Neodiprion lecontei: one gene and its partner. The main gene of each other region encodes a partner of the protein of the gene in region 2 in a complex. Links are inferred from orthologs where the notes say so. Each region holds a gene or a part of one and is shown on either strand. Other genes may lie near its edges. The genes, in order: beta-1-syntrophin and dystrobrevin beta.

Evidence for each region.
Region 1: dystrobrevin beta (region 2) and beta-1-syntrophin share a complex: the UniProt entries of both Caenorhabditis elegans proteins name them as parts of the dystrophin glycoprotein complex. The link is inferred for Neodiprion lecontei from reciprocal best matches to the Caenorhabditis elegans genes dyb-1 and stn-1.

The regions. Positions count from the first base shown.
Region 1 is NC_060263.1:19,321,260-19,326,250, forward strand, and holds the start of beta-1-syntrophin, read right to left. Parts: upstream 3,095-4,991; 5' UTR 2,758-3,094; coding exon 2,656-2,757; intron 1-2,655. UniProt on the Caenorhabditis elegans protein: Adapter protein that binds to and probably organizes the subcellular localization of a variety of membrane proteins. May link various receptors to the actin cytoskeleton and the dystrophin glycoprotein complex (DGC).
Region 2 is NC_060262.1:18,390,755-18,395,650, reverse strand, and holds the start of dystrobrevin beta, read right to left. Parts: upstream 3,289-4,896; 5' UTR 3,122-3,288; intron 1-3,121. UniProt on the Caenorhabditis elegans protein: Plays a role in cholinergic transmission and as a functional partner of dystrophin (dys-1), necessary for muscle maintenance. Required for localization of ctn-1 near dense bodies in muscle cells.

The DNA of each region.
Region 1 (4,991 bases), on a different chromosome or scaffold from region 2:
GCATCTTATATATAGCGTAAACTTTACTTGCGAATGCAATTATAAGAATTTAAGGTCAGATGTTCGGTTTATATAAAGGTATAGGTGAAAGTTCATGAATATAAAAGGCACGATTTAAAAAAATTATGATAAAAGTAGTGAAAAATATTGACGGCAACGAGATAGAAAGGTATAGGTGTATTGAAGTAAATGCGAAAAACGAAAAAGGAAGTGGAGAGAAAAGAAAAGACAAGAGATTGGTGTGTAGGTATATGGGGCATTCCGTGACATCTCGATCAAGATTCTACGTCGATGTCTCAGATTGACTTTATAGTTTTTTCGTATAAAAGTACACGACGAAAAACGCGATTGTAATTTTTTTTTTAGAATTTCCGACCCAGCGTATCTGAATTATGATTTAAAAATTTGAAAAAGCAGAAACCCCACTTTCTAAAATCTGAAAAATCTTGTAAAATGTAACAAAATTTTTGACACCTATTAAAAGTTGGAGATTTCATAACGTCGAGAAATGAATAATAAAAATGAAAAAAAAAATACTGCTATTACATTGCATTTTCGACACAAGAATTGACGTACAAGCTCATTATAATATCTCTCCGAGTAGATATTTTCCGGATTTTTTATGAATTTGTTCAGATTTTCGATAGTTAAGTTTGTTTTTCAAGTTTTTAAATTATACTTCAGATACGCTGGGTCGAAAAATTCTGAAAAAAATTGCGATCGCGTTTTTCGTCGTGTACTTCCATAGAAAAAAATTATAAAGCCAATCTGAGGCATCGAAGTAGAATCTTGATCGACATGTCATGGAATGCCCCGTATACATATACATGAATACACGAGAGAAAGAAAAATGTAAGAGAGGGGATGAGAGTTTCCCAAGGAGGTAACGAACCGACCAACGAGTTTTCGAACGAATTGAACGAACGCTGCTGCCCGCCACGTGCGCTGCTGGCTTCTGTTGCCTGATGATGCTGCGTCACTGCTTGCAGAAAACTTCACCCTCGATACGTATATACGTGTACAATTGTACATACTGCGCATAGGATAAAAGAAAGAAAATAAAACCAACGTGGAAGAAAAACAAAAATCCAAAAATCCCCGCGTAAATCTTGCGACGAAATAAGCGTGAGAGAATTAAGAGAAGAGAAGAGGCAAAAAAAAAAAGAAGCAGAAGGAAAATAGAAAAAAACGTGGGACGAAAGAGAACAAACGAGATATAATTGAACGAATTAGAACGCGGATAGAATCATTTAGTGCAAATAACTGTATATAAAGTATAATAGTTGTACAATTGCTAACTTCACGAATGTTAGGAGAATTACATACGTACAGGGTGTACAGTTATTCAGCGAAAAAAACTATTTTTCAGACAAATGTCAGAGGATGATACATAAATAATCATACAGTTTTCGGCGATTTCTTGTACATCTTGTACAATAATATATTGAAAAAAACCGGAACCCGATTTATTGCGACAGATTTTCATATGAGCTTTTTAAATTGACTAACAACAGCTGACAGTAAGAAGAATTCTATTTTTCCGTCAGTTTGAAAAAACAAACAAACGGAGAATAAGAATAAAAATACAAAAAAGTAACCGAACTATTTATAAGATAAAAGAGTCTAATTAGAAAACTAACGAACCTCCGTACATAATCTTCCCCCTCATTTGTCAAAGTTAACACTCTCATTATATTATACCGGAGTCCCCTTAAATTCCTGCGTGACAACTATCTAACACACCTATATACACAGGTATATTGTACACGTGTGTGTGCCTCGCAGGTATAATTAAAACTTTTCCGGTTATATTTCGTACAACGGTGGCGATGTGTTTGCCATTGAAATTGAGTCGTCAACAATTATTTGCTACTTGGAAACACTGAATTCAGCAATTAGTTACAAAATTTATACATCATACAATCAGCATGCTGCTGTTTAACGCTGAATTGAACCGATCGTTAATTCGCAATATAAAAGAGCAGGATATTTCACAAACAAGAATAAAGTTCTGGTAAATTAACTCGAGTTATGTAATTCACCGGATTTCAACTAGATATATATATATATACGCGTGTACGTATAATAGGTACATACATACATTGCGTGAAAAACGTATATGAAACTGCAGCTAAAACGAAAGGTGAACGTAAGGCATACACAATATATAATGAAATATAATACGTATCGACATAAAATATACGTGAAAAAAGAAAGAAAAGTGGAGATAAAAAAATCCTATCACCGACAATTAGAATGAAATAAGAATAAATGTTACAACAACAATAATAACAACAACGACAATAATAATAATAATAATGATAAATAATAATAACTCAATTACCTCGTACAAGAAAAAAAGGCAACGTTATTACCAACGTAAGTTACTGAGATCGATTCGTTATGCAACCGGGCAAACTTAATCAAGGACACAACTATGTAACGATGCGTGTGATATAATAAAAATAACGTGTTTAATGTACGTGTAGTTCAAAGTGTTGGTATTCGTGTAAGGTTTTTTTGCTTTTTCACTCTTTTTTTTCCTCCTCGTTGTCTAATCTTTCGCAAATTTATAACCCTTTCTCACTAATCTGCAATGTAATACGATATTGATTATACGTGAATAGTGATATTTTGTTAATTATTATATATTACCGATTTATGGGCGTGTATTGGCATATATATGACGTTCTTGTCGATTAGCCTATTTGAATTTTCGTAAAAATGTTCTCTTTCTCCCTTCTGTTGTTCAATCATTCGTGCATAGTTTTTGTCCAATTTTTCGAAAAACCCGCCGGTTCTCTGATTCTACGTCACCACTCTTCAATCAAGTACACGGGGTATTACGAAATTCGAGGCTGAGAGAAAAAACTGATTACTGCTAATCCATGACTACAAGAGGCGAACAAGAATTAACGATAATTCTTCATTCACTTGCCACGATTACCCTTGTTGTTGTTGTTATTATTATTATTATTGCTATTTTTATCGTTACGATCTATGTTGTTGATTTCTTTTCTTCTTCTTTCACAGGAAATTGAGGCAAAGTGCAGTGTCAGCGACATTTCGGTAATAACAAACTCCAGTCGTCGGATTCCGGCTACCGCAGACACAATAATTATTACGCCGAATATCCGTGTCCGGAGTCTCGCAATAATTTATTTATAAATATTGTGAGAGTTACTCAATTGCACATTTCAAGCAGAATAACGAATCAATCCTCGTCTTAGATTCACTCCGCAATGACCCGCAATTACTATTATTCTTTCGAGGCTAAAATGCGCCACCGCACGCTACGAATTATTTCTACTACAATGATAAACTTTGAAGGATGGCGACGCACCGATTCGTTCTTAGGAATCAATCAATTAACAGTAATTTTGCAGATATAAAACTTGGAAAAGAAAGGCGAGCGAGAAAATAGATTGAGAAAAATAAAAGAACGCGAACGCGTTTTTCACCTGTTTACTTATTCACCATCCGTCTATCTTGTTTTCGACTTCTAGCTTCTAGCTTCTAGCTTCGTTTATCTCAGTTCCCCGTAGTTTCCTTTCCACCTTTAACCAAAACTGTGACGATAAGAATTGCCGATAATAACGGAGAGCTCGGTACGCGTCCGGCTATCAACGATCAACGTGTTTGTTACAAAACAATCGACGATCAGGGGCTAACTTCAAGGCGTCCGAACCCGGCAGCCCGACAACTGAGCATCGCCGACCGTTCGAAATTCCCCGATATCCCTGGTTTTGGCGGGCTTTAAGTTTCTCACACACCGTCCGAAGCACTTCACGAACTTGCACACACACACACTCACAGGCCTTTTTCACAAGAAAAAAAAAAAATAAACACACTCGGCGCTGTTAATCGCCGACTTTCACTCGTCGCCGACTTCGCGTTGTTTACCACTTGCCACTCGGCCGCGCCGATCCGTTCCTAATCCCAGTTTACAACACGCCTCGGACGAGTTCGGGCGATTCTGAGAGGCCGGTTTACTCACTACACGGGAGAATTCCACTCGAGCATCGCTCAACGCGTTTAAAGTAACCGCGACGCAAAATCGCCGCCCAAACGAATGACAACCGAACACGTTTCACCGACGCGATCAGCGCCAGACTGAGCCGGAATCTCGAGGGCGGCACGAGCTACCGGCGTTCGAATCGCTCGTTACCCGCCGGTGAACCCGACGCCGAATACCGGCGACCCTCGACGCCAGCGACCCTCGCGGATCGTATCCGCACTTGTTGCGCCGCGCTGTCTCTCTCGCACCCCCCTCCCTCTCGACACCTTCCACCTTTCGACGTCCCCCCTCCTTTGCCGCTCGCTATCGACTCGACCTAACGGCTTTTTCGAACTTCCCGCCCCCAAAATTCCACACCAGGGTTTTTACACCGGAGGTGATAGGAATGCGACTGCTCACAGTCACGGATTTAATCAAGACGTGTAATTCGTAGTTTACAGTTTTCTAATGCACGGAGAAACGAGATCGTTCCAAACTTAGCGAAATTATATCATTTTCAATTAGTAGTCGGCCAAGGAGTTCGGAAAATTCGATGAAGCGATTGATATACTTACATACATCAGATTCTCGATTACCGATTAGGCAAGATGACGGGTTACGATTTAACAAAATTTTAAATCAATTTATTATTGATCAGAAATAAGAAGAGTTTGTAATACGATTTTCTGATTTGTACGATACGGAAATTTGTCGTGAAGGCAGCTGTCCTGAAAAAAATCCGAAATACGGCTATCGACCTTTTTGCAATGTGTTCGAAAGTGCCACTGAACTAGCGATTACGGCACCTGGGGCTAACTTCAAGCTGCGCAACTCGTATTTTACAGTTTACTTCTCTTTTATAGAGTTACGAAATAATCGTTTCAAACTTCGGGAAAGTGGATTGTTTACAATTGTACTTCAGTGTCGTCGCTGAAAGAAATTCAGAAAATTAATCAAAAGATCGAGTGTACTTATGTCAAATTTTCACTCTATA
Region 2 (4,896 bases):
AACATTACATGAATTATTCTTATACGACATGCATTATACGAATCCGACATACAATTTACGTATCTGTTATAATCAGGTGCGCTCTACGTTCCATTTGAATTAAATTTAATCAAATCAAATTCCAATAAAAGAGATAAATTATTATTTAGAGAAAAAGTGTGTTTGGAATGAAACATACGTGTTGGAATTTTTTAATTTTCCTAACATTATACGTTGTAGATGATTATTAGTACATGTGATATATTCCCATAAAAGAATCCACTTCTGTGCGTGTTCGGCAATAATTTGCAAATATTAAATAACCGGAGAATTTTACACGGTAAAACTTTTTTTAAAAATGTGATGACAAAATTAGACTACTCTATTATAGGTATACCTATAATAGTGAAAAGCTACAAATGTAATTTTATCAATGTTTTATGATCATTCAGCAAACTTGAAAAGCAAGTTTGTTCATGATCTGAAGATAATTATCGGTAGGTACAGTAATTAATCAAAATGAACAAATTGTCGACCGTGCGACGCTATATTTAATATTTTCAAAAAAGCTAACAATAAGAAGAATTTAAGTCGTATGATTTACACTTCAAAAAAATGTTATTTTCGTTACTTTAGTGACGTAGTTTGTCTTGCATGTGTAGAATATCATTAATGGGCAAAACAACAAAAAAATTCTTATCGAATGGACTGGATCATACAAAAAATAACATAGGTGTGTATCTAATATTTTAACCTTTGGATGTGTGGTGAATACTATACATGAAAAGTATACAATAATATTTTCCGAATCTCGTTTATTTGAAGAAGTTTCAGACAGCCCAAGTTTCAACGATAGCTTCTCGTTCTTGCTGATAGTTATACGCGAGTTTCCCGCATTGTCCACGTAAATAGAACGTAAAGTATACAGTACCTAATAAAATCATCATTCAAGTTTACATTGAACATAAAGGAAAAGAATCCCGAATAAATACTATTTCACAAATATACCTAACTGCATAGTAAATAGTGGAAGGGGGATATTGATAAAAATTTCATGCTGCCTCACTATTAGTAGAGTTTCAAAGTCTTTGCTAAATCATTCAAGCTACCTTCAGTTTGTTACACGTAATGATAGTATATAGTGCAGATATGAGAGCTAATAGGATATAGTCGCATGACAAAAATTGACTTGAATTGGGATTTTGTGATATTTCTAAGAAGTTTAAAAGCCATTTCTAAATTGTTAAATCGATATTATAGGATTAGAAAAGGACCGTGAACTAATAAATGATCGTTTCAATCGGTCATTTCCTGGTGCACTTACCGTAAACTTTTTGTAAAGTTTACCCTGTACTATATTGGATTACTCAGGTTCCTATTTCTATTATCCTCGTTTTATGCCATTAATAGTAACTTCTGGAGTTTATAGAGTCATAACAATAATAGTTTCAAATTAAAAGACTCTAACCGAGAGTAAATACACATTGGCAAGATTGTACGTATAAATAAATTTCAAAATATACACAATTTCGCAAAGTTATTCATTTTCCCAGTCCATTATCGTAGAAATTGGTCCAGTTGGAAAAACGTTTGATAATGAGGTTTAATACTTTTGCAGTTATGTGCACATCCAATATTAAAACTTGGAAACTGGACGTCAATTACCCGCCGTTGTATAATATACGTTCAAAAAAGTACGAATTTAAGTAGCAACTGTAAATCTGGCGGGGAATCAGAAAACTTTTTTAATGGGTTAGTGAATAAAATAAAAGACGAATGAAACCGTGATGACAAAAACATCATACAAATCTCGCTACAGATCAAACTTAAGTTCAATTCAAGTTTCTTAATTGAAAGTAAAAGAAAGCAGGAAAAACGCGACTGCCTTGAAAGAACCAGTCCTAGAACATCCCGTTATTCTATAGTTATTTTCGATAAGATTTCAGAGATGGATCGGATAAATTTTCCCAAAATCCAGTCAATTCGGGGTTAGAAAGAATCCTATCAATGTGACCAAGGCCATAAAAATTCGTTTAATCGTTCGCGAGATATCGTCTTACAAAAAATCGATCACATGCACACACGCCCAGCGTCCATCTAAAAGTGACGACTAGACTCTGAAGTTAGCCGCAGGTTTCACAATCAGCCCTCTAGCGCGCAACGCTACGAATTTGTGTTCACGTTTGATTGCGAATGCAACTTTTTTTGCTGTAATTTGGTGCACCCCTACTTAGAAAATCATGATCAGAAGCTCTCAGCAGTGGAAACCTGTGGCTAATTTCAGCGTCCTCTGTGTTCGGGGTGATCATAATAACTTCCCTGGAAACAAAGTTGAAAATACTGATTCATTCTTTTTGACCGTTGCCAATAACCAATACGAGGATTTGGTTCAAACCGTACGTAAGAAAGATCTACGATCTTTAAGAACTTAATAGTGAGCAGCAAAGGAAGGCAATATTGAACTCTTACATTGTAAAATCTTCAGATTTTCTGGGCCTTCAACCTACCACTCTTAAGAAATATTAATAAATCGCTACTGTTAGATACGAACATTAAACAGTTTGAGGATATAATCAAGTAAGCATGATCGCAATCAACTGACTTTGAATCTGTCACGGATAAAGAAAACAGACTGTAAACATAAAATTAATCGGACAGGTCGCGACGCTGTACAAGTTTCTATACTTAGGAATAAGGTTATAAGCGTATTGCCTGGCGACATTATATGTGTATGTAGATTTTTTAAATCACCCAACAAAGTGCATGGACCTACGAAGGGCTGAATTCTGATTGGCCGTCGACTGTGACGTCACAATATACCGTGGTACACGTTCACCTAACCTGCTTTACCGGTACGCGGCTTGATAATTTTATTGCTCATGCTTAAACTGGCGCAAAGATAATCGCCTGATCAACGAGCGCGGCGTAAAAGCTTGAGAAAATTATCTCAACAATTATGCCACTCGTTCGAGGTCGCGTATTGCAGTTCGCGCTGCTAGCAAGACGGCAATTCACAAATGTGTACGTTATTGACTACCTGGAGAGCTGAGAACTGTCAACTAGGAGTTCCGAGAGTTATATTTCGCAGCAAAACGGGGTACTTGGTGTTTTTCAGTATGGATAAATACCCTACTGTTCTTACCTGTTTTTTGACGCGAGGACGGTGTTTTACATTGAATATTGACGGTAAACAAGTATCTCACACAGCACGAACACAACGCACACCTGAATCCTTACGGCCATTACTGCCTACTGAAAATTAACTTCTGTAGTTCGGTCCGAGGAGGATAGGATAGGAGGAACGCTGCCATAAGGCGCTAATGCATATTTGCGTGTACACTAGCAGATACGGCGTTCAGCTCCTCTCTCGGGCGGGAGCGCAAACAAAAACTCCCCTATCCATTGCCCATGGCTGTCTTTCGGGCGCCAATTTCAAACTCACTGTAATGCAGAGGGAAACAGCCATTTTAAATTCGTAACAATTTAATCAAGTAATGATAAAATAATAAGAAGCAACATATCATTTAGTTTATACTGACTTTTACTGAGAAAATAGAGGAATTAATAACTTTTTCATGCTTCTCTGTATGTGGGATTATTTTCATCTTTACAGTCGATAAGTACGAACGGTAAACATGATCTATTACTGTGTGTTTAAAACATCTTAATTATTCATCCGATATTAACGGTGATAATATTATCACAACAATGTTAAGTATTATACACAACATTGGTGAAGTAAAGTTCATATACTGGATTTACAGTGAATCTTTTTATTTTTGAACTCTTTTCTTGACTACTACATAGATCTCTCCTTATAAATTTGCCTTACCAATGACATCTTATTTTTAGAAATATATTTGATAACGTTGTCATTGCGTCTGGGGATTACAGTTTGATCAAAGGACACATCTTTTTGATAAATTCTAATAATTTGGTTATGTTTCGACAATGTATGGCAGAACGGATTGAACATTTAAGCGGCTGATTCCGAAGCTTTAAGAACTTGAGACACTTTCTCTTACATGCAATATTCAATTTGTATCCACGTATGGTTTTATAATAGTAAACAGTCAGTAATTTTGAAAGTCAGTGTTATCTTTGAATCATCAATAATTTTCTGCACTCTTTACATGCATAAAAGTAGTGAAAGATGCATTTTACGTAAATATCCTGTAGTAATAGAATGAATATTAATAATCCTCATTTTTGGTGAATTGTTCTACTTCGAACTGTACATTTTGATATATTTCATATATGTATAATTGATGTAACGGTTTTATTGATCTTGTTAGCAATTAAAGCTAGCGATTCACTTTCTATTTTTGATGCAAGAATAGTTAGTTGTACAGCACAATTAGCGGATATATTTATTTGTTACAAGTTCGTTTAGGAGCACATATTTATGAAATTACTAATGTTTAAGTATATTGTTATACCGATAGGTGACAAGTTGCATACATGGTAAATTATATTTCTATAAACTTCTAAAATTTTTTTAAATCAGTTTCTTTAGGCACAGCATAATAAATGGTAAATTTTAATGTTACCGTGGCTTTTAAGGAAAAATCTTGTAAATATTAGAATCATTATATAAGTTATCAAAATATTATCAAACGTTTGCGGTATGTCGGAGACTTATCAAGTACTTATTACAAAATCTAGTCAAATATATTAATGTGTATATATTAATATTTAGATATTTTAAAAATATATGTACTTACTATCTTCATCGTACAAGATTGCAATTTACAATATAAGATTATAATGCTAGTATGGCAGTGATTTGACCGATTTTTAAAATGTCGGACGTGTTACAATTTACATATTGCAGAAAGCAATAATTAACATTATCTTGCTTGCAAAATCGAGAAAAAAATCAGATGTAGACATTTATGAGGTGCTAAACATAAGAGC